Alligator mississippiensis: one gene and its partners. The protein of the gene in region 1 purifies or fractionates together with the protein of each later gene. This does not show direct contact. Links are inferred from orthologs where the notes say so. Each region holds a gene or a part of one and is shown on either strand. Other genes may lie near its edges.

The links.
Region 2: the proteins of TP53RK (region 1) and NUP43 purify together in Homo sapiens (affinity purification with mass spectrometry; 3 studies listed by BioGRID and IntAct, counting the BioPlex papers as one, with this or other methods). This does not show direct contact. The link is inferred for Alligator mississippiensis from reciprocal best matches to the Homo sapiens genes TP53RK and NUP43.
Region 3: the proteins of TP53RK (region 1) and OSGEP purify together in Homo sapiens (affinity purification with mass spectrometry; 5 studies listed by BioGRID and IntAct, counting the BioPlex papers as one, with this or other methods). This does not show direct contact. The link is inferred for Alligator mississippiensis from reciprocal best matches to the Homo sapiens genes TP53RK and OSGEP.
Region 4: the proteins of TP53RK (region 1) and GON7 purify together in Homo sapiens (affinity purification with mass spectrometry; 5 studies listed by BioGRID and IntAct, counting the BioPlex papers as one, with this or other methods). This does not show direct contact. The link is inferred for Alligator mississippiensis from reciprocal best matches to the Homo sapiens genes TP53RK and GON7.

What each region holds. Positions count from the first base shown.
Region 1 is NC_081832.1:15,801,845-15,808,636, forward strand, and holds TP53RK (EKC/KEOPS complex subunit TP53RK), read left to right. Parts: upstream 1-4,944; 5' UTR 4,945-4,961; coding exon 4,962-5,169; intron 5,170-5,555; coding exon 5,556-6,034; 3' UTR 6,035-6,151; downstream 6,152-6,792.
Region 2 is NC_081824.1:129,004,583-129,012,155, forward strand, and holds the start of NUP43 (nucleoporin Nup43), read right to left. Parts: upstream 3,355-7,573; 5' UTR 3,314-3,354; coding exon 3,194-3,313; intron 1,550-3,193; coding exon 1,427-1,549; intron 1,216-1,426; coding exon 1,138-1,215; intron 1-1,137. UniProt on the Homo sapiens protein: Component of the Nup107-160 subcomplex of the nuclear pore complex (NPC). The Nup107-160 subcomplex is required for the assembly of a functional NPC.
Region 3 is NC_081830.1:3,073,851-3,081,319, forward strand, and holds the start of OSGEP (tRNA N6-adenosine threonylcarbamoyltransferase), read right to left. Parts: upstream 3,337-7,469; 5' UTR 3,328-3,336; coding exon 3,213-3,327; intron 3,140-3,212; coding exon 3,020-3,139; intron 2,944-3,019; coding exon 2,768-2,943; intron 2,687-2,767; coding exon 2,591-2,686; intron 2,300-2,590; coding exon 2,250-2,299; intron 2,013-2,249; coding exon 1,934-2,012; intron 1,829-1,933; coding exon 1,763-1,828; intron 1,525-1,762; coding exon 1,434-1,524; coding exon of another isoform or gene 1,418-1,433; intron 887-1,417; coding exon 811-886; exon of another isoform or gene 805-810; intron 453-804; exon of another isoform or gene 427-452; coding exon 328-426; intron 1-327. Other genes in the region: APEX1 (DNA-(apurinic or apyrimidinic site) endonuclease), read left to right, coding at 4,621-4,681, 4,768-4,955, 6,494-6,686. UniProt on the Homo sapiens protein: Component of the EKC/KEOPS complex that is required for the formation of a threonylcarbamoyl group on adenosine at position 37 (t(6)A37) in tRNAs that read codons beginning with adenine.
Region 4 is NC_081825.1:276,407,730-276,414,735, reverse strand, and holds GON7 (EKC/KEOPS complex subunit GON7), read left to right. Parts: upstream 1-4,487; 5' UTR 4,488-4,659; coding exon 4,660-4,864; intron 4,865-6,133; coding exon 6,134-6,246; 3' UTR 6,247-6,269; downstream 6,270-7,006. Other genes in the region: putative E3 ubiquitin-protein ligase UBR7, read right to left, coding at 1,192-1,252, 1,837-1,970, 4,058-4,237. UniProt on the Homo sapiens protein: Component of the EKC/KEOPS complex that is required for the formation of a threonylcarbamoyl group on adenosine at position 37 (t(6)A37) in tRNAs that read codons beginning with adenine.

The DNA of each region.
Region 1 (6,792 bases):
CTATAATGTGCTTCTTGATCACACTGTAACATTTGCACTTTACACAAAGTACTTAAAGTTATAGAGCCATCGAAACCTAGCACACATGGGGCTCCTGTGCATGGGGGCTCAGTACCTCCATGCACTGACAGAGGCCAGGTGGCAGGGGGCGCTGTTGCCTGCTTTGTAAACTGGTCAGGGCTCCAGAAGCCCCCTGGCAGCTGTCAGTGTGGGTGGGGGGACCTGGGGGGTTATCTGCCCCAGAGCCAGTGTCAGGAGGCACCGGGGGTCCTCTCCCTAGGGGTGGATCTAGCCAGGGCCCGCCTCAATTGCTGGCTCAATTGCCCCCTGCCCGCACAGAGGCAGCCAGCGCGGGTGGAGGGGCTGAGTCCCCTTGAGCTCTCTGCCTCCTCCCTATGGCAGACCAGGGGGATGACACCTAACTCTCATAGGGAACTGTATAGACGTTCCCTAAGGAGCTCTAATTTAGAGCACTTTCATTTACTACCTGATTTAATGAGGGTTAATTTTTCACACATAGCCTTTTTAAAAGTGCTCTGCAGCTGTGCATATGTGATATGCCACAGCTGTAGAGCACGTTCAGGTCACATGAAAAATGCGCCAGGTCACATGAAAAATGTCACTTCTGTCTGATCCCCTATGTGGTCAGGTGTGAGAATCCCAGCCTCAGCCTGCTCCTAAATAAATCCTGGAAAAAGAGTTGTCTGTATAAATAGGAAGTGAGGGTGTCAATAGGAAGGAAGGGTGCTCAGTACTTCATGAGATCAGACTGTTTCTATTAGCTTGGCCTATAATAGGCCTGTTAGCATATCATATGTAGGGGTCTACCCGACTGGAGGAGGCCAGTTGATTTCGTGGGGAAATCGCAGAGCCGGCCACCATTTTCGTGGGCAGATTGTGATGGCTCCCCCCCTTCTGATTGGCTATGGGGGTCCCAGTGGCCCTGCCCCCCACTGCTGATTGTTGAAAAGGGGCAGGACCACATGACGGGCAGTCCACTCAGCCAATCAGGGGTGAGGGCAGAGGAAGCAGCCATCTTGGGCTGTCCTTTGTGCAGGTAGCCCTCCCTTCCCTCTTCTCCCATGGTGGACTGTGCAGCTGGGCCACAGCACTGTGAGGACTGCTGGCTCTGTCTGAGGAACCAGCATTTGATTTTCCCTGCCCTCCCCCCTGATTTTACAGGCATTGCCTACTTATGTGAACAATGCCGGATTTCACGTTTTCGGTAGGTCCGTAATCATAGGCCTATTAGCTTGCCCTATGATTTTAACTTGATTACAGAACTTGTAAAAGGGGGGTTCAAATAGATGTTTGTCACCCGTGGGAACAAACACATTCTTTGAAATTTTGAAGTCAAATTGTTTTTCATTCCAGTAAAAATATTAAGAGTAAAAAATAAGAGCTGTATCAAAGATTTATTGTATTATACATGAAAATGATAAGTGAAATAAATAAACAAATAAAATGGGGGGAATAAATAAGTTTTAAAAGAAATAAACATAAGATTTTATATAAATAATTAAATAAATATGCTGGGGAAAATAAAGCTATAAATGTTTTCTCCTAAGTATTTTGAAAACTCTGGAAGATGATTTTGGTCAGCAGAATACAAAATATCTTAGTTTACCAAATGAAGCAAATGAAAAGATTCTTTTGCTTTTGTGTATGTTTGTTCATGTATGTGCTTGTATGTATCCATGCATTTGAATGGAGATGCATTTGTGTATAAACTCTGCCTGCACTTGTATGAAAACTTTGAGTTCATTTTTAATGATATTTGCAAATTTGAAACATGTAGATACAAGTGCATTTTTTTTCTTAAGTGCTAGAGCATCCTGTGTAGGCTGCCTAGCTGAGACCAACAGGCTTGAGGCCAAAATAAGAGGTGGAAGAACCACAGGGTAGAGTTCTTTTATCATTTAAGCCTTCAGAGTGTTATTAAAAAGCTGTTACTGAAACAATGTAAATATTTGCTAAGCAAAGTCCCACCACATGATGCACAAGTAAGCTGTATGGAATGTATTAATAAAATAAAAAAAGATTTGGAAGAGAAACAAATGTTATGGATGGGAAAACAAGGACAAAATGGACTTGAGGCAACTCCAAGGGCAACAATCTAATTAGAACTGAATCTCTTGTATAGACTGTGTCTCATGAAGACCATAACACACAACCCTGCTAGAGTAATGGGTTTCAGTGTGCGTGGTGAAAATTCAGCTCTAGGTATTGGGACAGTGGATGCTATAACAAATTAAGTGGTTGTCTCCACTCTTCCAATTCAAACATCATCTGCAAAAGATAAATGAGTCATGTCATACCTCTGAACCCTCTCTTCATCTTCCACTGCCACACGATGCATAGAGCTTGTGTACATAGGGATACTAGTGTGTAGTGAGGTAGGGTGTGAATTTACAGTGCACTTCACTAACTCCCTGCGTGGACACTATCTCTGCTGAGGAGCAGGGCATATTAGTGTGGCCACTGTGCTGCACTAATGACATTATGCTAGTCTTGGTTCTAGAGCTGGCACATGCAGAGCTAGTGTGGGGTGTCTCTTGTGCCATATAGTCATATTATAAAAGGAGACAGCACACCACCCTCCGCTGTTTTTGAGTAAAAATGGCTGTGGCTGCTGTGCTTTGGGCTGGCAGCATGTCAGGTGTGCTTCAATAGGGATTAGGCTCTTCGGAGGAGGTTCAGAGACACCTAGTGTGAGGATCTCAGACAGAGGAATGATTTAGGATGCTGAGGCATGTTATAGGTGTTGAGGTGCTCAGCTCAGACAAGACAGCAACACTTTTTGGCCATTTGCAATAGCAGAACTTTAGGACTTTACTAAGTAAATGAGAGTTTGGACAAGCTGAGATTAGACAAGGTATTCCAAAACAAACATTTGTGTAACTTCGGCTGTGCTTATTAATCCTGATACCATCTTTCCCAGTAGGAAGGAGGGTCATATCTAACTTAGACCCTAATGCTGAAGTCGACTGATCACAGTCAGACTGATCTGATGGCAGAGATTTTCATTGACTTCAGCGTTGCTCCACGTGGTCTAAAGGCCTGTATACTACCAGGGAAGCTTTGTGTGGTACATTTTGTGCCCCGGATACTCAGGGCACCCCATGCCAGTATCGCATACTACTGCTAACAGGCCAGATTGTCATCAATTCAAGAACGATTTCTACCATGGGTCTTGAGTCCAATTCTTGAGCCAGCTGTGTCTGCCGTGGAGGGGGGGGGGCAAGGGGGGGGAGTCGGGGGTCAGGAAATGACTAGTGCAGGCCTGGCTGTTAAGCTGCTGTGTTACCAGTTACCAATCAATCAGGGACCAGCTCAATACACAGTTGCTAGCTAATGTAAGCAGTTTATTAGCAACAATTAACACCTACAAAACCACAGACAGACCAAGGAGAGGAAATAATCAATACAGACAATCAACTGCCCCAAGACAGAGACAGCCATTCCCACAAGCACCCATGTCATGAGTGTTACCTGTCAGCAGCTAGGGGTGCAGGGCCCCAGAGCCCCAAACCCCTGCACCGATCTCCTCGACACCTGGCAGGCTTTGCAGCTGCAACAGGGGCCACCATCCCTGCAGCTTTCACCCCGCTGCGCCTTAACACACGCAGTGTCACTCATGTCACGAGTTTTGCTTGTCCGCAGCTTGAGGTGCAGCTTCCCCCAAACCCCTGCACCAATCTTCTTGAAACTTGGCAGGCTTTGTGGCATCAGCAGGGGCCACCACCCCTGCAGTTTTCACCCCACTGTGGTGTAACACATAGACGTGACATGAGTTTTGCTTTCAAGAATTTGGGGTACAGTTCCTCCCAAACTCTTGCACCGATCTTCTTGAAACTGGGCAGACTTCAAGCTCTCAGCAGAGGCTACCATCCCTTCGAGTTTCATCCAAATCAGACAAAAAACAACAACGTTATAGATATTTCATTGATTCATTATACCCTATGGCCCTTCGGAGCCGCTTCGGCTGGATCAAAGCAGAAACCCGGTCCGGAGCTCTGTATCAGATCGCTGGTATCCGAAGTGGCCGGATCCGAAGCCGGATTGAATAGCTGCCGACTCGCACAGGCTTAATGCCCAAGCCCGGGGCTCCAGCATTTCTCGGGGGGGGGGGCTCAGTCAAGGCCCTGGGACTGCGCTGGGAGACGTGGGCACAGCTGCAACTTTGGCAGCCGGGTTTTGGCAAACAAACATTTGAGAGCTGAGCCGTGGTGCAGTCTAGTGAGCACCTTGGCCACTGGTCCATGCTCTGCATTGGCCACAGCCAGAGGAAAATGCAGTGGCTGGCAGAGGAGGCCGACCTGACACTTCTCCCTGGGGCAAGCGGCGGGAGCCACCGGCCATCCCTTATTAGCCATGTGTGACCCAGCCAGCACAGGGGGGGGGGCTTCCAAAGAAAAATGGTTTGGAAGAGAAGCTAGGGGAAAATGGGCTTGAGGCACCAATCTAGTGGAAGGCAACAATCTAATGATTTACGTGGAGTGAACTGAATCTCTTGTACAGGCTGCGTCTCGCGATGAGGAACATAACACGCACCCTGGTAGCGTCATGACGGGTGTCCGTGCCTGCGGTGCCAATTCAGCTGCAGGTGCCGGGACAGAGGATGCTATAACACATTAACCGGTTTTCATAGATTCCTAGACTGTAAGGCCGGGAGGGACCTAGGGAAATCATCGCGTCCAGCCCCCCGCACGGAGCAGGAAAGGTGTCTCCGCTGCTCCCGTGCAAACATCACCTGCCACAGCCGAACGAGTCGAGCCCGAGCAGGGCGGAGCTGCGCCCCGCCGCGCCGACACTGGGGGCGCACGAGCTCCTCCCGGCCCCCCACCTCACGCTCGGCTCTTTTCGGCAGCCGAAGAGTCCCGAGCGCGTCACGTGGTGCGGAAGCCCCGCCCCGCCCGTGCCCGGGGTGCGGAGCGCGCAGGCGCAGTAGGGCGGCTGCCATGGCGGAGTTGAGGGTGCCGCTGCCGGGCTCGCGGCTGGTGCAGCAGGGCGCCGAGGCGCGGCTCTACCGCGGCTGCTTCCTGGGCCGCGCCGTCGTGGCCAAGCTCCGCTTCCCCAAGCGCTACCGGCACCCGGCGCTGGAGGAGCGGCTCAGCCGGCGGCGCACGGCGCAGGAGGCGCGGTCTCTGCTGCGCTGCCGCCGCGCAGGTGGGGGGTCCCGTCTCCATCACCAGCCCGCGAGGCTCCTGTCGGGCCGCGGGACCCGCTTCCACCTGGTGCCCGGCTCCCTGCCCCCTCCCCGCGGGCCTGAGGGGCCTCCCGCCGCGCAGGACGGGCCCAGCGCCCGGGGAGGGGAGGGGAAGGGAAAGGAAGGGGTGATCCTGCAAGGATGCCCGACAAAACTCCTCTTTGTAGTCGGGGCGTGCTCAGATCACACCCCTTAACCTGGTCCTCGGGCTCTGACGCGGTCAATATGAGCCCTTTTCCATCTTCGTTGCGTGCGACTGGGCAGGGTGGAAGTTGCTCGGGAATTTCTGTGCCCTAAAAGTTAGCACCTCATCAATCCTTTTTATTTATTTATTTATTTTAAATAGGCATTTCTGCACCAGTGGTATACTTCGTGGATTATGTCTCCAACTGTATCTATCTGGAAGATATTGTAGGATCGATGACGGTTCGGGATTATATCATTTCTGTACAGCAGCGTGAAAAGGATGCTAGCGGCCTCTTTACCTTAGCAGAGAAGATAGGCGAGGTTTTGGCTCGGATGCACGATGAGGATCTTATACATGGGGATCTTACGACGTCCAACGTACTCTTGCGGCCGCCAGCAGAGAAGCTTGACCTCGTGCTGATAGACTTTGGACTGAGTTTTATATCTGGCCTACCTGAGGATAAAGGGGTTGATTTGTATGTCCTGGAGAAAGCCTTTCTTAGTACTCATCCAAACACAGAGGCTCTGTTTGAAGCTCTGTTGAAGAAATACGCAGCTATGTCAAAAAAATCGAGCCCAGTGATCAAAAAATTGGATGAAGTACGACTAAGGGGAAGAAAGAGATCCATGGTTGGATAGAAGCAAGCAGACTTTGTGGAAGGGTGGGGAAATGACTTCTCATGTTCTGCAAAGGTCTCCAGTGGCTTGTATTCACTGTTTTGGTAACTTTCAGTCCAATAAACCAGTTTAATACAATATGACTCGTTTTGTATAGCTACCTAATATGTGGTCAAAGTAACTAAGTCAAAAACTGGTGCTGTGAATACACAGATAAACGGGGGAAAAGGGATGAAATGTTTCCCTTTTTCAAAGAAAAGAACTAAAGCACGTAGCATTTTCTCGCTGCTTTACATAGAATAAATACAACACTCAATGCTAGTATTATCAGGCTTGAAGACTTTGGCTTTTCATTTTCAAATCAATAGTCTTTCCTTCAGCAAATAGTCTGTTTAAACCAGTAATAAAATGGTGCCAGGGTACTTTGTTAAAGGTATTCCCAGTTAAGCAAAAAGTATTTTGTGACTTTCCTTTCAGATAGTGGTCAAACAAGCAAGCAGTATCCTATCCTATGAATACTATTTACATTTTTGAGAACTAGGAATATATAAACAGTAATGGCCTGCCTGGATCAAAGCAGAGACTTTTTTTCTAAGTCTCTAATGACATCAACCTTCTCCATTTCTAATAGATCACTGCTGTAAGCCAGGAGTGTGGTAATTAAATCTTAGTACATAAAAAAGACATTTCCATCCCTTGTATAAAAAAAGAAAAATCCCCATTCCTCTGCCCTTCAATGTGCAGATGAGAAGCACTGTTCTAAAAAAGGCATGAGAAGT
Region 2 (7,573 bases), on another chromosome or scaffold:
CTCCCCAGTGGGAGCCAGCAGTCCTCACTGCCGTGGAAGGGAAGGTGCCAGCTGGCAGGGCAACACAAAGGGCAGCAGGAGAGACAGCTGCTGCCCCCTCATCCCTCCTCCCCACACTGGGGACACTCTACCAATCAATCAACACTGAGGGCCAGGGCTGCTACAAAATGACCACAGAATTAGAACTTTGTCATGATCAACCACTGAAAATTAGTAAATACCAATGCAATTTAGGTAGACCCCTAACCATAGGTCTTCAACAGCTGTCTTGAAACCAAATGAAATTGGTGAACTGATTAGAGGAGTCCTCAATTACATAGTTAAATGAGTGCAGTTACATTACTAAGTACATTGGGGAGTTCCTATGAATTTGTGCACTTTAACCAATATTCAGATAGCCAATGTTTTATCATATAAACAGGGAAAAAAAAAAAAATGTGGACTGAGGTGTAGTATTCAATGCCTAATGTATTTCCTCCCCTTCCTCAGGTAACCAAGTACACCATTTATTTTTATGAGCTGGGAATCTTCTTTGACCCGTGATGGTCATTTACCTGGATCCAGTCTCTTCACAGGATTTAACCTGCAATTGGATTTTGATTTAAAAAACTAACTTAATATCAGTAATGAAAAGCAACTGCCAAAATAACAACCCTTTCTGTGTTCATTTTATTATGCAGTAGCAAGAACTAAATTAAAATGGCAACACACACACGGAGGATGGTATTCTTTCATAAAAAATAAGCATCATTAGAAAGAATCAGAAATAGTCACCATTAACTGAATCAAGTCATGTATTTATAGTCCATTCACTGAAGCTGTAAGCATATTTGGTGACATGAGTACAGAAAAAGAATCTGTGGCACATGCTTCCCCCCAGGTGAATAGTCTATCAGATAATTAACGAAATGCTCCATATATGCACAAAAAAAACCAGACAGACATGGTACCATTCTCCTCATTTTAAAAATGGTGGTTTGTAATTCTTCACAATTTTAGTACTCAGAATTTCAGATACTTCATGATTTATTTTTTTTCCCCTGAGGAATCTTTCCTCGCAAGCACTAAAGCAACTTGCATTACAAGCTTAAATGGCAAAAAGCAAAGTTTAACTTATAGCCAGAACAAGTTATTTACCTGGTTATTTTGATGGTGACGGAATATAGTTACGCTTCCAGTTGATGAAGCAGCTACAATTCTCTCTTGATCCAAAAACTAAGAAGAAATACTTAAGCTTACTACTATGAACATGTAACAACACAGAAATAGGTTTGGCATTACAGTAGTCTAGATTTCAGAGCATACACATAAATTAATGTTTGAAAAATGTATTTCCTCCCCTTCCTCAGAAAAATTATTTGACTTTCAATATTTTGGCATCCACTTGTTCTTTTTATAATCATTTTAATAACACTGAATATTTTACCTGCATATCCATAACATCACCATAGTGTCTGATATCACATAACAACTGTGGTTCTCCTTGATATTCCCCATTGGGACACACACTTTCAGCATCTCCAACAGACCAAATGGAAATCTTGTTTTCCTGTAGGAGAAAAAGCATCACTAGATTAGTGATGCTAGTTTATTGGAAAAAGGTTTGGACAAATTTGTCAATACATCAAAGCTTTCAACCTCTTTCAAGAGTCAAGTTTAAGAAAAGGAAAAATAAAGGACCAATATTAAGAAAAACTACCATCAGACATCACGAGCTAACACTCCAGGATGAGCTCTAATAGTCAATGACAAAGCTGAGGAACACCAGGAGCAAAGGGACTAAAGAGGGCTAAAAGACCTGCTGTGATCCAAATGCTTTTAACAGCTGACAATGACTGACAGTTCAGAACCAGTAGGACTTTGCTTCCTATGCATGCAAGACAGCAAAAAAAAACAAACCAAAACAAAAAGTCAGTTGGGTAAACCAGATCTCCTCTGCCAGAAACACATTCTGTAGGGAAAGCTGGTATAGAGACAAGAAGGATGATAAAGGGATCGCCAACTGAATGAAAGGCTGAAACTAGAAAATTGCTAATAGAGGCAGAGGCTGCAGCTAACAACTGTGGGATCACTCTAATGGGCTTTTTAAGTAACCAATCACAGAGCTGTAGAAAATGAGGGAAGGGACCTCAGGGGTCATCTAGTGCAACCCCCTGCTCAAAGCAGGACCACTCCCAACAAATTCATCCCAGCCCAGGCTTTGTCTAGCCATGTCTTAAAAACCTCTAATGATGAAGAGTCCACCACCTGTGGGTAACCTGTTCCAGTGCTTTACTATCCTCCTAGTGAGAAAATTCTTCCCAATATCTAAACACAATTTCCCTTGGTGCAACTTGAGACTGTTGATCATAGCTCTAATCTGCCACCACTGAGAATAGTCCAACTCCACTCTCTTTGGAACCACCCTTCAGGTAGTTGAAGGCTGCTATCAAATCCCCTCTTAGTCTTCTCTTTTTCAAACTAAATAAACTCAGTTCCCTCAACCTCTCCACAGAAGTCATGTCCGCCAGCCCCATAACCATTTTTGTTGCCCTCGTCTGAACTCTCTCCAATTTGTCCACACCATTTCTGTAGTAGGGCGCCCAAAACTAAACAGAATACTCCAGATGTGGCCTCACCAGTGCTGAATACAGGGGAAGAAATATTTCCCTCCATCTGCTAACAACACTCCTACTAATGCAGCCCAGTATGCTGTTAGCCTTCTTCCCAACAATGGCACACTGCTAGCTCATATCCAGCTTATTGTAACCCCTGGGTCCTTTTCTGCAGACATGCTGCCCAACTAGCCAGCCCCCAGCCTGCAGAGGTGCATGGATGTTTCTTAACAACAAACCTACTTAGTAAATTAACTAAGAGGCTGAACCTTTTCTACCCAGAAGAAAAAGCCATAACCATGAAGGTGCACGGACACCTTACAGGGCCGTACCCTCCCCACAATAGGAGGATTCGTTCACATACACCCCCCTCCCCAACAGGAGGGCACACAAACACACGGGAGCGAGCCGGGAGAAGCGCGGGGGCGACCAGGCACACCCACACGGCTGTAACAAGGCGAGGAGCTGCAGTGTCCCGAGGAAGACAGGAGCTCGGGGCTGCCCCCAGAGCAGGGCCAGGGTCACAGCCGTGTCCCCTCATTCCCAGGCGCCAGCCCGACCCCACCCCAGGACCGGCGGCCCGCGCCCCGCCCCCACACCTCGTTGTCCCAGGAGCCGGTGGCGAAGAGCTCTGGCGGCTGCAGCGCAGTAGCAGGCACGGGCCGCCATCGGACCTTGCTCAGCTTCTGCGACACGAATTTGGCGCACAAATCCTCCATGCCTGCACGCGCCCGCCACCCCACACCGCCCCGCCTCTTCCGCCGCTAAGCGCGCCCTCCCATTGGCCGGGAGCCGTCTCGGCAGACCGGAAGCGAGTAGGGACAAAATGTTGCCTCTGGAAAAGGCGAGAGGCTGCGGGAGGGGGCGGGGTCTTTGGCTGTTGCGTAGCCCCAGAGAAAGGCAAGGAGGGAGAGGGGAGGCGTGCGGAGGTTAGTCCGCACTGCCGGCAGCTGGAGCATTGGCGATAGGCGCGGAGAGGTGACAGTGAAATGCGGCGGAAAGAGGACGTGGGCGGATCGAGGCTCGGGGAAAGTGGGTGCAGATGACGCCGTGTGTGTTTTGCTCCCGTTACCCGTAAACGAGAAGCTGTCGCGGGCCGGGAGTTGTTACTCCGTTGAAGACTGAAGCCAAAGCAGATGTCACTTCACTGGTATGAGCTCCAAACAGCCTGCAAGGCTGTGAAATGGGAGCTTCGTCCCCAGGAGCCGCTACCTTACAGCGCCTTGCCCAGCACGGGGTCGCTGAACGTGGGGGCTGCTGAGCAGAGGGGCCTTAACACCCTGGAGGGAGGGAAGGGTTTACAGGGTGTCAGGTGCATTGCAATGAGCCATGAAGTCAACAGACCCCCCAGCACTGCCTGACTAAACATGCAGCTGCCACTGCCGTGCACTTGGTTTTAATCTCTGGGTAGAGTGGGAATCAGAATTGTGCCAGGGCACCCCCCAGCCCTGGATCCACCTCTGAAAGCACATATATATATATACCTTGGAGAGCAGGCAGGGCCCAATCTGAGATGATGGATAGTTATATACTCCTTTATTCCTTTATATTTTACAGAGCAACTTAAAGGCTTCTTTCCCACTTTTTCCCTCCTTCTCTGGTACTCATTTCTGTCTTGGAACAAGCATTTGAAGTCCACACTAATTTCCTGATGAGTTCCTTATTTTAGATTAAGTGCAACTGACTGACCTCATCTAAGATGGAGACCACAGACTCCAGTGTGGGCTCATTGGTGGTTATGATGTAAAAAACAATAAAAAAGCCAACTTGGAAAATTCTCCTAGAGTCATGGACTGGAAGAGACCTCAAGAGATATCCAGTCCAATCATTTGTCCTTATGCAGGATTTGCTATTCCCAGACCATCCAGCTTAGAGGTTTATGCAGCAATTTTGGCATCTTAGGCAGAAATGGTGCCCAGCACCTCGGGGAGGGGCGGGGGAGGATGCTGGGCTCCAGAGCGTGGGGCAATGTCGAGCACCCAGCAGCTGCAGAGTGCTGTGTGATGCTCCTGGCACCCTGCATTGGCACGTGGGGCTGTTGTCCTACCCCACCCTAGTTATGCCACTGATCCAGCCTCCTGAAAACCTCCACTGCATGAGATACCATAGCTTCCCTGAGCAGCTTTTTCCACCGGCCTACTGTTCTTACACTTAAAGTGTTTTTTTCCTTGGTTTTAGTTTAGAACTCCTTTGCTGCAATTGAAGTCCACTGCTGTGTGTCCTATACTTTGCAGCATGGAAGAACAGTTGCTCCCTCTTTTTTATGGCAGCCTTTTAGAATATTTGTAAACTATTATCAGGTTCCCCTCTGCTCCCCCTCTTGATCTTCTTCTTTCCAAACTAAACATACCTAGTTCTCTCAACCTTTTTTCAGCTTGCATGCCAACTGCTTTATCATCTTTGTCACTTGCTTCTGGATACTCTCATGTTTCTCCACATCCTTAAAACTGTGGAGCCATGCATACAATACAGTAGTTGAGACCTAACCAGCACTGCATAGAGTGGTAAGATCTCTTTTGCATGTCTTTTATACTCCTGGTAATAATATATACATGTACTAGATTCCTAGTAATGCAGCACAAAATTACATATGCTTTTTTGAAGATTGCATCTCATTGCCAAGTCATGGCAAGTCTCTGATCCACCAAAATCCCCAGATATGTCTCGGCAATGGCACTACCCAGCCAATGTCCCATTATGCATTTGTTTTTTTCTTCCATAGGTGTAGCACTTTGTTCATCCTTGTTGAATTTTATTCTGTTGCCTACTGCCCAGTTCTCCAAGCAATCAAAATCTAATTCTAATCCTGTCCTCCAAAGTGTTTGCATCTCTTCTCAGTTTTCTGTCATCTGCAAACTTGATCAGGAAACTCTTTTTCTTACTTTCAAATAATTGATAACAATATTAAACTACAGCAGATCCCTGTGGAACCCCACTTGAAACCTCCTGCCATTCTCACATTAATCCATTTATACTCTCAAGTTGCAGTCATTCAGCCAATTATACCCACCTAAATGTGGGCTAGATGGTCTACTTATGAAAATTTCATATACAACCATACCTAAAAGCCCTTCTAAAGTCTAAATATATTATGTCCATTACATTCCCTCCATCTGTCAAATTACCTTCCCTGCTGAGAAGGAAATCAGACTGATTTTGCTGTATTTGTTCTTAACAAATCTATGTTGGCTATTAATAACCACCCCTTCTTCCTTTAGGTACTTATAAAATAGACTGTTTTATAATTTAGTTTGGCAACTTTTCTGGGAGGGAGTATGTTGACCTGTATCTAGCCTTCTGGGACTTCACCTGTCAGTTATGATTTAGCAAATCTTTTTGTCAGAACTAGATTTTTGCAACTTGTTCCTTCAGCAAACTGGGATAAATTCTGTCAGGTCCAGATGACTTTAATTCAGGTTTGTCAAGAGATTTCAGATGTGCTCTTAACTTATGGTTATAGTCCTTCCCCTTCTTTGTCTATATTTTGTTAACTGTTTGGTCACAGTTTGTTTTTATTGTGAAAACTGAGGAAAAGCACTGAGCAACTCTGCCTTCTTTGCACCTTTCATTAATAGATTACATGCACAGTGGACCACAGTTCTTGGTCTTTTTTGTCTGTCTGAAATGACTAATTAGAGCATCCCTTCAGATTGCTGGGAATGATCTGTCTGAGGGAAAAATGATGATGGATCTAAACTGATATTCTCCTTATCCTTTAAACAAATATTACCAGGAAATAAAACCCATCCAGAATTAACAGCTGACTTGCTTTACCCAGGAACATGCACAAGAATGGTTACTCTGTTGGCACACAGGTGATTTGTGACTGTAGAACGTTTAAAACAACTAGTAAAAATATTGTACTTTGTTTGCTTCACTGAAGTGTACATCAATAAAACAGTCTTAGCTTTCCTTCCTTTTCAGTTCCAAAATGTATTAAAATAATAGTAAATCTATTGACTAAATGTATTATTTGTTTATGGCATTCAAATAACTGCAGAGGATTTAGTTGTGCCCCTGCCACTCTGGTGCTGATATCCCCAGCTTGGAAAATAGAATTCTATTGTTTTTTTCCCTTCACACTTCCTTTTTTAATACAACTCTGAAGTCATGAAAGCTGGCAGAATATGCCTGAAATGGCACAAATAACACTCTGCAAATTCACCTCTATTTTTATCCCCATCTCTCCAAGACCCTGATTTTGCAAAGACTTATCATTGTGCTCAGACTGCAATACAGTTAAGCATATGTGTAAGCCTTCGCAAGATCCCTCTTTAAATGCACTATAGCCAGTGACCTTTATAATAACTAAGCTTCTCTTCTGTACTCTTGTTCTGAAGTTATTACCTGTAATAATCTTCCTTATCTCTTTCCTCAGCCATCACACAGAAGGCTAACGTGGACAGTACAAAAATTCTGCATTATACCCTCACAAATCAGGTTATACAAAACCATTGAGACTAAGAGAGATGTAACGATTTGAGGAACTCTCTCTCACACATCTCAAGCGAATTCACTCTCCTTTTGACAAAATTTGCAGAAAGGAGCAGTTTTAAAATTAAGGAAAATCATGCTTCATTATTCAGAGGTCTCATTAAACAAGAGATGTCTTCACATAATCAGTGGACTGGACCAATAGGCTTTGAAGTAGGTCTCCTGTGATCCTAGTGCAGAGTTTAGAGCCAGCTGGCCAGTTCCCTTGATTACAGAAAATAAGCCAGTTTCCCCAAGGCTGGCCAGCTTAAAAGGAAGCAGCAGCAGATGTTAGCCTATACACTGACATCTAGGAACACATGTACAAATCAAACCTTAGAGGAGTTATCTGACTGTCAGAGGACAGAGATTTAATTCAAGTAATTGAGATTTTATTATTGATGTTTGGGGAAAATTAAAACAATTATATTTAACCTGCATGCTATAGAGGCATTATCTACCCCACTTCACCCATCTCCCTCTCACTTGGGTGCCCAAATGGCTGT
Region 3 (7,469 bases), on another chromosome or scaffold:
ATCCATGTTTATTCCTGGTCAGTTCAACCCCAATTATCACCAAGACAAGAGCTCTTCTCCCTCTTGGGTGTTAACTAGATCTCCCTCTTAGCCTTTGTTTTACCAGGTAAAACCAGCCGTGCTCTTCTTGCATCTTTCCATCCCCTAACCCTCTCAGCAGCCCTTCTTTGCACGTACTCTAAATCACAGTTATTAGCTTTGTATGTGGGTGACCACAACTACACACCAGAGCCCTGATGATGTCTCACCAAGGGACCATGCAATAAACAGCACTGATATTTCCCTGTCTTTGCTGGAAGTATCTTGCATGCCACCCTCATCCCATACCTTTGTGTAATCCAGGAATCCTCCAGCGTGGTCACCTGTCCTGAACGAAACATCTCCCAGCCAGCCTGAGCAATCATGGCCCCGTTATCAATACAGAACCTGGGTGAGATGAGAGGCGAGAGCTCCTAGAGGCAGCAGAGAGTGGGGTCGAAAGGGCTGGAGAAGGATCAGAAGGCAACGCTCCTGGGCTCAACCCCAGCTATGGGAAGGGAGTACAGCCTACAGTTACACAGGAAGGGAGGAGTGGTGCAATCTGAAGGCCTAGATTCCCAGGTTTCATCACTGGCTCTAGATGTGGGGGACAGGTAAGGACCCCAAAGCCCTCATAACTTTGAGGGCCTTCCTCGTTTCCAGCTGAACAGGGCAGACTTCACTCTTGCCAAAAAGCTGTGTGTCAGCCTGATGGGAACCCTGAACCACAGAGCTTGCTCACTGTGGTGTGGCACATGCTAGGGCCTGCCTCTGCTCACTGCTGGTCTTTACCTCTCATCTGTTGCAAACAGCTTGGCCCCTCTCTCTTCACACATGATCCCCATCATCTCCTGCAGCCGCAGGTTACCTGGTGGGGAGAGAGGGCAGGGTTAGAGTCCAGCCGGGTCAAGGTTCCTGTGTAAAATCACTGGCCACAAGTGACACAAGTCAGAGTGACTTCAGCTCCATTCAAATGGGCAGCCTGGTGCCACCGGTGGCAAGTGCCCTCCCAATCATAGCCTATTTCCAGGTCCCCTCACCCCCATATGTGGATGACATGGTACATGACAGATCCAGTAATGCATCCTGGGTAGCTAAGAGACCCCTGTAAAATGGCAGGCGGAGAGGGGTACGACAGCAACTGAAAACTGTTGCTGGGGACAAAGCAATTCTGGGGTTCATGCGGAGATCTGTTCATGGGGCAGGTGCTTAGCTGCAGGTTATGTGCGCAGAAGGGAATTTGGCATCACCGCGCCCAGGGTGCTCTGTGCTGGGGATCGAGAGGGTGCAGTCTGGAAGGGATTCTTGGGAAGACAGCAAACTGGGGGGCTTGACTGCCGTAGGAGCAAGCAGGACTGGGGGAGGGAGGTAGATCTCCAGCTGTGCGATGCATCCTCACCCCCACAGGTACCTACAGCCAACGCCGCCCACAATGAGCACCTCCTGGGAGCCGCAGTGCGCCATGGCCCGCTCCGTGATCTCCACCAGCATCGCAAACACCGTCTCCTGGGGTGAGGGATACGATGTACGCATCTTCAACACTGCCCCTCACTACGCTCCAGCAGCTCCCCGCCGGCCCAGGCTCCCTCCTCCGCTTCCCAGCCCCGGCACTGCCTCCCATTCCTGCTGGGATCGACAGGACATGACAGTGCCCTTTGCTCCTGACCCACAGTCACTGCTAGCCCGGCTCTGGGCTCTCTTTCCCCTGACCCACAGCCCTCATTTGGGCAGGGCAGCTTCTCACCTGGAGGGAGAAGCAGAGGTCCTCAGGGGTGCACTCTCCTGATGCCAGCATCTTATGAGACACTTCCTGCAGGGGCAGAGAGAGGGAGTGAGGCCTGCTGCATCCTATCCCCCAGATCTGGACGGGCAGTGGGATCTAGTGGTTTGGAGCCAGGACTCATGGGTTCTTCACCTCTATGTGGGATAGGATCCCTGAGAACGACACATCCATCCCCTTCACCGTGTAGGGCAGCTCCACCAGCTTCTGACCTCTGTGGAGAGAGGAGACCGTCTTACTGCCCTCCTGATGATCTTCCGAGGTCCCTTCCAGCCCTAATGTCTATGAAATCTATGAAACGCTGGGGGAATCTCAGCTCCCGGCCTCCCCTGCTCTACCCCACCGTAACCCCCTCCGCCAGCGTCTCTCGGCAGCTGCGGGGAGGCTCCCAGCTGCTGGGCCTTGCCCCCCACCTGGTCCAATCCACCAGGCCTCGTGCCTTGCCACTCACTTTTTTGCCATCTGCTCGATGTTGTAGCCAGGACTGGGGTCATTGGAGATCTAAAACAGACAGCAAAGAAGGGATAAGTTTGCCGATGGGACTGCAGTTAAGTCAATGGCCCTCCTTGCTTCTTCCCACCCGTCCATAAGTAACCTCTGCACTATCCTCTTCGCCCTCGGCCTTTGTTAGTATCCCCCAAAAACTCACAGGAGCAGGAAGCGGGGCATTTACATTAACACACGGGCGTCAAATACACGGCCCTGGATCTGAATCGAGGTTCGGCAAGCCGTCGAGGGCCGCAGGGGGCGGATAAATATGACTTTTCTAACTGGTTTAGGGGCCCTTCTCGCCTTGAGCACGCGGGCGAAGCGGTCCAGGCAGTTGCCCACGGCGATGTCGATGGTCTCCCCGAAGATGCGGTAGCGGCGCTGCGAGTACGCGATGACCTGGGGGCGGGCGGAGACGTCGGTGAGGACGGCGCACGGGTGCTGTTGTGCCGGGGAGGAGGGGGAGGGGGTGTACCGTACCTGCGTGTTGCCGCCGCTGACGTAGAGCACGGTGGGGTCGTGGGCGCCCGTCACCATCCGCCCCATCTCGATGTGGCCCACGCAGTGGTTGACGCCCAGCAGGGGCTTGTCCCACAGCTGCGCCACCGTCCGCGCCACCGCCGCCACCACCGCCAGCGGCGCGCCCATGCCCGGCCCTGCGGCGGGGACGGGGCGACGCATCAGTGTCCGCTCGCCTTGGCACAGCCCAACCCGGGGGCCGCCCCGCCCTACCTTTGGTGAAGGCCACGCAGTCCACGTCGCAGGGGCGCAGGCCGGCCTCGCGCAGCGCCTCGGCCAGCAGCTCCAGCAGGCAGGCGCGGTGGTGGCGCGCGGTGTGGCCGGGCAGGAACCCTGCCATGGGGGCCACAGCGTGTCACATGGGGGTGGGGGGCATGGAGGGGGGGGGTGGGGGAGGGGCGCTCACCTTGCCCCGGGGGCGTGACGTAGGTGCGGCGCGGGTTGCTAAGCACCCGCCCGTCGCGCACCAGGCCGACGCCCACCTTGTTGGCGCTGCCCTCGAGGCCCAGCACCACCGGCATGGCCCACCTCACGTGACGTCACGTCGCGCCCCTGACGTCAAGGCCCCGCCCCCCCGCCGCCGGCCACGTGACCGCCCACGTGCAGGCTCCGGTCTTTGTGCGGCCGCGCGGGCCGAGCTGCAGCGCCGGTGGGAGCCGGGGCGCCGGGGGGAAGCGGGCACGCGATTGGCTGGGGGGGCGGGGAGCGCAGTGCCGCGCGCTGCGATTGGCTGGGGGGCCGCTTGTGCCGGGAGCCGGGCGCGGGGGTTGAGCGGGCCGCGGGGCACGTGCTCGGCGTCCCGGCTCCTCCGGGCACGGGGTGCTGGGGGGGATGGGCCGGGGCCCGGCTGCTCCGCGCGCGGGGCGGCAATTGGCCAGGGAATGGATGTTGGCGCTCGCTGCGCGGTGATTGGCCGGGGAAGGGGGTGCTCTGCGTGTGCCGCGCGGTGATTGGCCGGGGAGCGGGTGCTCTGTGTGTGCTGTGCAGTGATTGGCTGGGGAGCAGGTGTTCTGTGTGTGCTGGGCGTTGATTGGCGGGGGAGCGGGTACTCTGCTAGTGCTCCATAGTGATTGGTGGGGGAGCAGGTGGTCTGTGTGTGCTGGGCAGTGATTGGCCGGGGAGTGGGTACTCAGTGAGTGCTGCGCGGTGATTGGCCAGGGAGCAGGTGCTCTGCGTGCTGCATGGTGATTGGCCGGGGAGCGGGTGCTCTGTGTGTGCTGTGCAGTGATTGGCCGGGGAGCGGGTGTTCTGTGTGTGCTGGGCGTTGATTGGCGGGGGAGCGGGTACTCTGCTAGTGCTCCGTGGTGATTGGCGGGGGAGCGGGTGCTCTGTGTGTGCTGTGCAGTGATTGGCCGGGGAGCGGGTGTTCTGTGTGTGCTGGGCGTTGATTGGCCAGGGAGCGGGTACTCTGCCAGTGCTCTGTGGTGATTGGCGGGGGAACAGGTGGTCTGTGTGTGCTGCACGGTGATTGGCCAGGGAGCAGGTGTTCTGCATGTGCTGTGTGGTGATTGGCCGGGGAGCGGGTGCTCTGCGGTGGTTGGCTGGGGAGCAGAGGGCTTTGGCATTGCAATGGGGGGCTGGCCCGGGCCCCGCTGCCCGTCCAGCCCATGTGGGGTGGGGGAGGAAGCGGGGAGCCGCTAGCAGGAGACGGGGTGGCCACTTCCCCCCTGCTGCCCCCGGACAAGCCTGGGCGCCCGGGTGCATGGTCCCCCGTCCTCCAGCACTCACCGCGCCGCCCCCTCCTCTCCCCAGTGCAGGCTCTCAGCAAGCTCCGTCGGCTCCTGGCGCCGCGGCGTGGCTGCGGGTGGCCCGAGATGCCCAAGCGTGGGAAGAAGCAGGGAGGAGGGGACAGCGGGGAGGAGCCCGAGGTCCCAGGTAAGAGTCCTCCCCGTCCCCCCGTGGCTCCCCGTCCCGTGCTGTGCCGTGCGAGCGCTGGAGCCCCCCGCCCTCTCTCCCCGCAGAGCCCGAGGCGAAGAAGAATAAGAAAGAAGGAGCCAAAGGCGCCAAGGAGAAGGCCGTCGAGGGGCCGATCCTCTACCAGGACCCCCCGGACAAGCTCGCCTCCCCCGGCGGGAAGAGGTACACGCTGAAGGTCACCTCCTGGAACGTGGACGGGCTCCGCGCGTGGTTCAAGAAGAAGGGGCTGGAGGTAAGAGCCGAGACGGGAGAGTCGCGCAGTACATACATTCAAAGTGCAACCGGCCCCAGCTGCAAAGCACTTAGCGCACAAGTAACCGGTGAACCGAGCCGTGCATTTGGCCCCGCTGAAGGTGCAGAGTAATTGCCGTTCAAAATGCATCTATCGAGAGATGGGGCAGGTCGCCCCTTTTCTCCCCTTTAAATTGATTGGACCTCTAGCCGTTCTCAAACTGCCGGCAGAGGTGGGAGGATTTGAATCTAGGATCTCCGTCTTCCAACTATGGTTGCTGGTATCCAGTCAGTGCTTGGAAATACATAACGCTATATAGCTGGTTTCTGTTCGGTTTTAATACGAGCATGGAGCGAGGCCCACAGACGGCAGTGGCGTTGCTTGAGAGCGCTCGGAGCTGCAGCAGCCAAGAACAATTTCCTTTTATGGTGTAGCCTAGTAGCCAGAGCCCTGGTTGGGGTCACGGGACACTGCAGGTCTCTTTCCTGTTTGTGCTGCCTTCAAACTGCCTCCCCTTGGCTCCTCCATTTCCCCTCTCAGGGTAGAAACAGTAACTCGTGTGTGTTTTGGAGACGTGCAGAAGGAGAACTTGGCTTATTAACTTTTATTTTTGGCCCACAACGTTTTGGGGAATAGGATGGTTGGGGGTGCAGTTAAAAACTAGGAATAAATCAGCCTCTCAGTTTATTAAGTTGGTTTTGAATTTACAGTTCAAATATATTCCCTCCCTCCCAAATCTGGTAAACGTTGACTTTTAGACGTTTGGGGCTCTCTCTCGGCCACCCCCTTTCTTGATTTTTGCCACCAGGTTTAATGAACGAGCAGTCATGTCCTGGGTGTGGGGGGGGCAAGTTGCCCCTTTTTTCCCCTCAAATTGATTTGGCCTCTAGACGTTCTTGAACGGCCGGCAGGGGTGGGAGGGATCAATTCTGAATCTTGGATCTCAATCTTCCTGCTGCAGTTGCTGTCCAAAAAATATCATTTTGTTTTTTCCCCCCCAAAAAACCCTTCCAATGTACTTTAGAGCTAACGAGGAGGTGGAGGGGGAGGATATTCCCAGCCGTGCTGCTATCATGCACTATTATACAGGTACAGTCAGGTCAGGTCTTATGCTGGTTAGAAGCTCGCTCTCAACACAGCCTCAACAATATAAGAAACCTGTCTTGAGAGCAAAGGAGATGAGGCTTTCTGCTCCCATGGGGCTGGTTTCAGCGACGCAGCCTTAGCTACAGAGCAATTAAAAGAACACCTAGCACTACAGCAGGAGGATGACACACAGCGAGGCCACAAGAGGGGTAGGGCCTAGTTTGGGAAGGGGCACGGAGTCCGGTGGATTATAACGGGATTGAGGTTTATAGGACAGTCCAGGAGGACGCTTGGGAAGGGGGCCGCAGTAGCAGAGACGGGGAGAGTCTAGGAAATAGGTTTCTGTGTTTTAGATTTAGAGACCTGGGCTGGGGCTGGAAGCCAGGAGTCCTGGCTGCCAGCCCAGCCCAGCCCTGCCCAGCCACCCTGACCAACCCAACCCTTCCCCACAGTGGGTGCGCGAAGAGGGCCCGGATGTGCTGTGCCTACAGGAGACAAAATGTGCAGAGAAGCTGCTGCCCCCTGAGATACGGGACATGCCCGAATACCCACACAAGTACTGGGCCTGCTCTGATGACAAGGAAGGCTATAGCGGGGTGGCCCTGCTCTCCAAGACTGAGCCGCTTAATGTCACCTATGGCATTGGTGAGGACCTCCCCCCGCTTCCATCTCTGACCCTTGACATCCTCTAGCACCCCAGTGCTCCCCTTGGAGCCCACTTGCCATGCGCCATCACCTCTTCTCCCTCACCCTCTGGTTGATTCCCTTTTTATTTATTTATTTATTTATTAATTGCCTTTTCTAGGCATCCTTTTCTCATCTCGGGCAAAAACCATGCTGCCTGCTCCTGTGGCCAGGCCTCCTTGTGCACCTCTTTAAGCTGGTGATTGCTGTCCTTGACCTTTCAGCTGCTTGCAATCTCCGACTTTGACCCTCGTATCTGCATTCCTTTTCTTCAACCTCTGAGCGTGGGACCCATGTCTGCGGTCCCTTAACTTCTCTGCCCCCAGCCTCCAAACGTTTGCCCATCGAACCCTACCTGCTGGTGACCTTTCCATGTGATTTCTGGTACACCGAGCCTTCTCCTCTCGACTTTAGCCTGAACAGCCTTGACTTTTGTCCCTCCTCCCTTTACCCCATGACTGTCCCTTTACTTCCCTCTTAATTGGCTCTCAGATCACTTTCCCCAAGCCTTACATCTTTCCCTTTTACTTTCTGCCTCGGATTCAAGGACCCACCCTGACCATTTGAGCTCAACTCTACCCAGACACCTTTGTGATTGACCTGTGTCCCAACTTCTGACCTTTACCATCCTATGTCCTTTGTCCCTTCTGACCCTGAACCACTTCTGCATGTGCCCTCAGAGACTCCTGCCTTCCTTACTCTCGTGCCTTTGCATCCCACTCCTACCGTTCCTTTTGCCCTTTC
Region 4 (7,006 bases), on another chromosome or scaffold:
ACCCAATCTTCATGTGCACACACTTTTATAAGACCACAGATAATCACAATGGCAGTGGTTCTCAATCTCGTCAGACCCAAGACCCCCCTCCATAACTTTTGGGAATTAAGTAGCACTCCAGTTCAAAAAATAATTTATTTGAGTGCTTACCTCCCTGCAGAGGGTCCAAGCAGTGGGGCTAGGGGAGTGGCTAGGTAGGGAAGAACCTGAGCCTGCACTAATCTCCTCATACCTGCTTATCTCCTCGCATCTCAGGGTACCCTTCGAAGGGTTTTGCATCAGCCTGGGGTGCTATAGCACCCTGGCTGAGAATCATAAAACCATAGATAAGTAGGGCTGGAAGGGACCTCCAGAGATCATCTACTCCAGTGGTTCTCAACCTTTTTTGTACCAGGATCCATTTGTAAACACTGATGGCCAGTCCTGACCCAGTGCCCCTCACTCTTGACCTGCAGTGTGCAGGGCAGGGGGTGGGTATGTGGGACAGAGGGGGCCCCAAGCATGCCCTTGCAGGCTGGAACCCTGACAGCCTGCAAGGAAAAAGCTACAGCTTCTCATATTTTTTTCTTTAAAGGAGAATCCATTTTTACAGGTTGTTCACAACCCTCCCTTTCATATATTCTAGCGACCCACAGATTGAGAAACGGTGATTTAGCCCAACCCCTGGAATCAATGCACTACAATTTTATCCAAACAAACCTATGAGTTCTGAACCTTCAGTTCTGCCCATACTTCTCAATATTTTACCAGTGTTTTAGATTCAGTGCTGTAGGGTCTACTGAACCGCATGTTCTTCCCATCTTCCAGAATGGAATTCAACACCTCACTCTGCTTACTGGTAACAGTAAAACCATTCTAAGTCATGTTCTTTAGGACCTGTACACAAGCTAACCCAGTTTAGCCAACTTATGTGACTGGTACCCAAAGAATTTAATTAAAACTAGATTTTAAAAGTTATAGCCTGTCTCTAGCAACAGCTGTAAGTCCTGGTTTTGCTGTGCAAATCTTAACTCTATACAATGCAATGAACCCATTTTAAACATAGCTTCTGTAATCAGTTCTCTTTTGAGAGTACATTGGTTTTTGTGACAGAAAAAAACACAACTAAACTCTCCTACTTGGAGAAGCAATACTACCACCAGCTTTTATTATTCTCTACAGAATGAAGAAGATAGCAATGTTTAAACTTACTGGAAGTAATCTGCATTGCAAATTTTTGAATTTGCTGTTTCCACAGTCACAGCAGAAGTTTCTGGAAAAAAAAAAATATAGCAGTTCAGATATTTTTTTAAATGTCTCAAAATGATTTTATTTTTATATTTTTAAGGGCTTCCCACTGCCAGCTGAGAACTAGAACATACTCTCATAAGCTAATTCACAATATCATCTTTTAGAACTGATCAAAGTCCAGCAGCATTACTCCCTCATGCTAACAGCCTGTCAGATTTCAGTATCATTGTCAAGTAGAATCACTATTCAATTGGGATACTCTTCCGGCCCATGTAATTATTGCTGCCGAGAATACTCTTAGGCTTATGGGTAAGCATATGTGTTTGAAAGACAGCGACTGTGAGTTGACTTGAACCTGGAGGGGATCTGGGACAAAAGCACGATAAACCAATGTAACCTAAATCACTTAACTGGTTTATCTTAAACCAGTTCTGGCCATTTTGAATGTGGTTTATGTGCACTGAACTTCTGCTGTTACAGATTTAAACCGGTTTGTGTGTCATTTCTGTCCCTAGACTTACAGGTATACGCCATCTTCAATATTGCATTTTACTGCTTCGTGATGTAAATGGAAGTACCTCAGAAATGGCCCCAATAGTGCTTTACCTTTTTGTATACAATTCAAACAGCTTGTGTGTTCCATGACACTCATAACTGCAGGCTAAGCATATCCCTGCCGGTTCTTCTCCTGGCGGAGTACAAGTACTGCAAGCATATAAAGCTTGTCTCTTTACAGCACCCTACAAAGAAACAACAGATATAAAAAGAGAGAGAGGCACAGAAATAATCTGAAAAAGGTCATTTGCTGTTTGACTGAAGTAGTAAATGCAGTTTGTCATAAGCAAAAAGCAAGTTAATGCTGATGTGCAAGCTAGCACCAGAGGTTCAGAGAGAATCAGTATTTATTTGGCAGTATCTTTTACTAAATTAACCGTAAAGTGGGGAAAGATGTTAGACAAGCTTTTGTGCACAAAGTGCCTGTCTTCAATTCTGGGCAAACAGCAGGTACGTACAGCCTGAAGTAAACACCAGGTAAAACAAGAATCTTTTTCATTTACACAATGGAGTTAAACAACAGCACTTAATAAGTAGAGAGGTAATTAGCATCTGACAAAGTAGACTGCTGCCAATGAAGGCTCATGCCTCTTTAAAAGAGTTGGTCTCTACAGTGCCACCCTGCCCTGCTGATGAGACTTAAAGGAAGGGAAGACAGCAGTAAGCCTGTGGCATTAAAGGAAGCCATCAAAAGCAGCTACAAACCAAGAAAAAGGCAGCTGAAATAAACCTATAAATATATAGATTTGTTTATTTAGATTCACCATTTATTTTCACCACAATAATACCAGGCAAAAGGGGGGAGACTAACGGGGAGCAAATAAATCATAAGCTGTAAAACTACTGTCTGCGTTCAGTCCATAGTTTTAGTGTCCCATAAAACCCTGTGCCTGAAAGCTTACTGAATCTCAATAAAAAATATTGCAAAACAAACCTTGTTTCTCTCATTCTCTGAAGAGAATCCCAGCTCAAACGCTAGAACCTTGCTACAAAACAGAATGACAGCATTCACAGTGCAAATGCACCCCGTTTAACTGCACAGTGTTGGGACTGATAAAAGGGTCCGTATTTACCCCCATCTCAATGTCGATAATTACTCATTAATTACAGGAGCAAGTGAGCTAAACTTTTTGCACCTCAAAAAGGTTTCTTATCTTGTTTCTCAAAACACCTTATAAACAAACAGCCTTAAAATTGGCAGGGCCTAGTAGGCTTGAGCTTGCCTTAGAAGCCTCGAAATGGACAGCTCCCAGCCAGCTTCGATCATGCAGTTAAACCCTGTGCAACTAACTTACAAAGCAGAGGATTCCCATGCACTTAAGCAGCTAATGCTTTTAACGAATACGTGAATAGCTGATGATCGTTTCAATGTAAGTAACAGGTAATAAACTGGGACTGACCCTGCGCTTCACAATTAAGCTAATTATGCACTTACGTGATATGCACACCCATACAGGATGCTTGAAAACTTTATGAATAATATCTCATAGTCCCAAGGGCTGACCTCCAAGGCACTCTTCAAAAACACTGCTTACTAAAGCCTCCCTGGCAGGTCGACCCTTTTTTGCAGGCAGGCCTCAAAATAGCTCAGCCACTTCCTCAAGTGCCACTTTAATCCTCTTCCCCTGCCCAATTTTTCTGATCCCAGCCCCAGCCCCAACCCCTGCATGGCCTTCTGCTCCCTGCCCTGCCTGCCACGGCGCTGCCCGTCCCCTCCCTGATCTGTCACGGGGGCTGCTAGGGCCTGTGCTGCAGGCTGGCCACCCCAATCTACCAGCTGCACCTCTTCCCTTGCCTCGGCCTAGCTTCACACTGCCCCAGCTCACAACCTCTCTCTCTGCTCTTTAAAGATGTGAGGTGGGGCTGTGGCATGTCAAGTTCTGCCACAAGCTACACGACACCCACTGACCAGCCTGGCGGTCACCTCTCCCTCTTCAGGGAGGAGGAAAAGCAGGGGAAGACCAGGGCCGTGGGCCCCACACGCCCCTGTCCCTGCCTCCTGCACCCCGGTTCTCTCCACCTGGCCACCACACCCAGGGGATGGCTCCCCAGCCGTCAGCCCTCCACAGGGACCCCAGGGGCCAACAATCCTGCCTGTGAGCCCTGGCCGGGCGCGTGTGAGCAGGGGGGGGGGGGGCAGAGCTCAACATCGGGGCACTGGGGGGGGACTCCCCTCCAACCCTCTCCCTACCCCGCCCCCCAGCACAGGCCCCTTCCCCGGGCACAGGCCCCGCCCCGTTACTATCCACCTGCCCCCGCTCCGCCCCCTCACCTGCGAGTAGCTGCAGCGCTCGTGGTCGCTCCCGCCCAGCACCGCGCGCGCCTCCTTCTCCAGCTCCTCGTTCTCCGCCAGCACCTCGGCCAGGGACACCACGGGCTCGTCCGGGGCACCCGCGCAGCCGCTGCCACCGCCGGAATCCGCGCCCCCCGCCGCTGCCGCCGCCTCCTCCATCGTTGGACCCGAGCGCGCAAGGCGGGAAACGCCGAACCACCGCCAGGGGGCGCCGCGGCGGAAACGGAACCGCGCACCCGTCACGTGACGCAGCCGGTGGCGGGGACTCGGAATGTGACCCAGGCGGGACGGGAGGGGAGGACACTCTGGGCAACCAGTCACAGAAGGAGAGGGGGCGGGGCTGGCCAATGGGACGCCAGGGGGAGGGGCGCGGCATGTGACGCGAGGGGGTAGGCCAGCCTCCGCCACGTGACCGAGGAGGGGTGGTGCGCGGGGCTTGGCTGCCGGAGGACGAGCAGTTTGACGGCCGTTGGACCTAGGCGTGGGCCTGCCAGTGATGACGCCTTCCGGGGGAGCGCAGTTCGGGCGCTGATTGGCTACGGGCGGTGCCGCTCCAGGCCGGTCCGCGAGGGGGAGGGGGTATGGAGCTGCGCGCGGAGCTGACGGGGCGCGACGGACTGAGGCAGCCGCTGCGGGTGCGCTGCGAGCCCGAGCCCGGCGTCGGGGCGGGCGGGGAGCTCCGCGCGCTACGCCGGGGCCTGGCCCAGCTGCAGGAGCAAGTCGCGGCGCTGCTCGGGCCCCTGGTGCAGCAGGAGAGCGGCGCCGGCCCCCGCGGGGGCGCCCAGGGTGAGCGGGGGGGGCGCGGCTCGCGCGTTCGGGGCACGGGGGCTGAGGAACAGCGCAGTGTCTGCTCGCGGCCCTGGCGCTCGGTGCGTGCGGGAGCGCCTGGTTCACCGCGTCCTAAATGTAACGTGTGCCGGAACCCGGAGCGGAGCGGGTCCCTGCTGGGCAGGTGGTGGAAGGGCCAGAGCCCAGGCAGCTTGTCCAGGGAGCGTAGGGGGGCTCCCACCACTGTACCCACACCAGCTGAGGCCCCAGGTGGCACATGCTTCCTGCATCTGCGCGCAGCGGAGGCAGCTGTCGTTGTGGGCTGGGCTTTGAGGGAGTGGGCAGGGGAAGGCCCTGAACAGCCAGGGCACAGGATGGAGCAGTAAGTGGCTTGTCTGGGGGTGGGGGGACACAGCCTAGGAGGGAATGGGAGGCATATGCAGGGGACAAGCAGGAGCTGGGGGGACAAGCAGAGGCCCGGAGGGCACATGCCCTGGCCCAGCCAGGGCCCTACTTCCCCCAACCCCTGCTCCTGTCTGTGCCCTGGTCCCTCCCTCGCTGCGGGGGGCCTTGATCTGCCCCTTCCCCCACAGACTTACCTGATGAAGAGCCACAGCCCCAAATCATTTTTTCTCTCTCTGCCTCAATCTGTTCCTCCCCTTCCTTCCCCATAGATTGACCTGTGGGGGGAGAGGGTGGCACATGGTAGATCTTGAGTTGTTTTTTAGTTCAAAAAGTGATCTCCTACTTAAAAAGGTTGGAAACCACTGTTAGAGGATGGTTTCAGGTTGGATGGAAGGAAGAACTTGTTTACGGTAAGGGTCACCAGAATCTGGAGTAGACTTCCCAAGAAGGTGGTGCAGTCCCCAACCTTGGAAGTCTTCAAGAGGAGATGGGACAGACACCTTGCTGGGATCATTTGATCTCAGCAGTACTCCTGCCCAGAATAGGGGGTTGGACTTGGTAATCTTTTGAGGTCCCTTGCAGCCCTTTATTTCTATGAGAAAAACCCAGAGGTTGCTAATAGGACTCCATGGTGCTAGAAACCTGACCTGCTGTGGTCTTTTTGAGTACTTTGTAATAGGATAATTTGCTCTAGTGTTTTTCTGTAGTCTAGTGCAAACTAAGACCTGCCAGTTTCCGAGGGGTGCCTTGGGTCTAAAAAGATTTGAGAACAGCTGATTTAGAGACTCTCCGTCTTCAGAGCCCTCTGGTTCCCTCACCTCAAAACATGGATTTGCAAACACTTCTTCTGTTACTAACCTATGTATTGTAACCTTTTACAAGGTGATGTTGGGGAAGAGGAAGAGGATGAAGATGAGGACCAGGAAGAAAACAATGTTGACAAAACACATTCAGATGAGCCACCCTTAAAACGGACAAAAATTCAGCACTCCTGACTGTTGCCTTAAAGACTCCTTAGCATTTTAGAAAAAGACCCAACAGTTCTATCAAATGTATGTTTAACTGGACAGTCTTACTTCCGGGGAAAAAATGGAATATTTTTGGAAGCCAGGTATCCGCATTTCTGTTCTAAAATACAACCAAGCTGAAGAGAAATACCATTTTGTTTTTCTAGTATTTAATTTTAATAAATAATCTGACAAAAGAAATAAGGGTGGCTTGTTTTGGGTTTTTTAAATATTTTTAGGTAGATGAAAATTATTATTTTAATGTTGGAGAGAAGAGAACATGGAACGTAAATGTCAAGAGGAGCTTCTGGCAAAGACATTGTACACAAACAGTTGTATGTTTTGGATACTCCCTGAGCATAAAACAGTCTAGAGCTGTTAAAGGAACTACTCCCAAGCTCTGTATTTATTTGTATCACTTTTAAAATTGACAAACTTGGAAGAAAAAAAAGACAGTTTATGTACTTGAAATGGTAGAAACAATAAGCTAACAATTACCTGTGAAGAAGTTGTTAGAGATGTATATAAAATAATTTGAGGATTCTAGACTGGCTTAAATACATAAGCAAGGAAATAATTTAAAAAAAATTGCTTTAAAAAAGCCTACAAGACAGGAAGTCACTGGTGTTCAGGTATGAGGTATGTTTGTGTTTGGCAGTTGATTTGACAAGATACACGGACGTCTTCGATCAGGACTTTGCCCTCTACCACAGTTCAAATGCTAATTGTGAAATGTTGACATGATTTG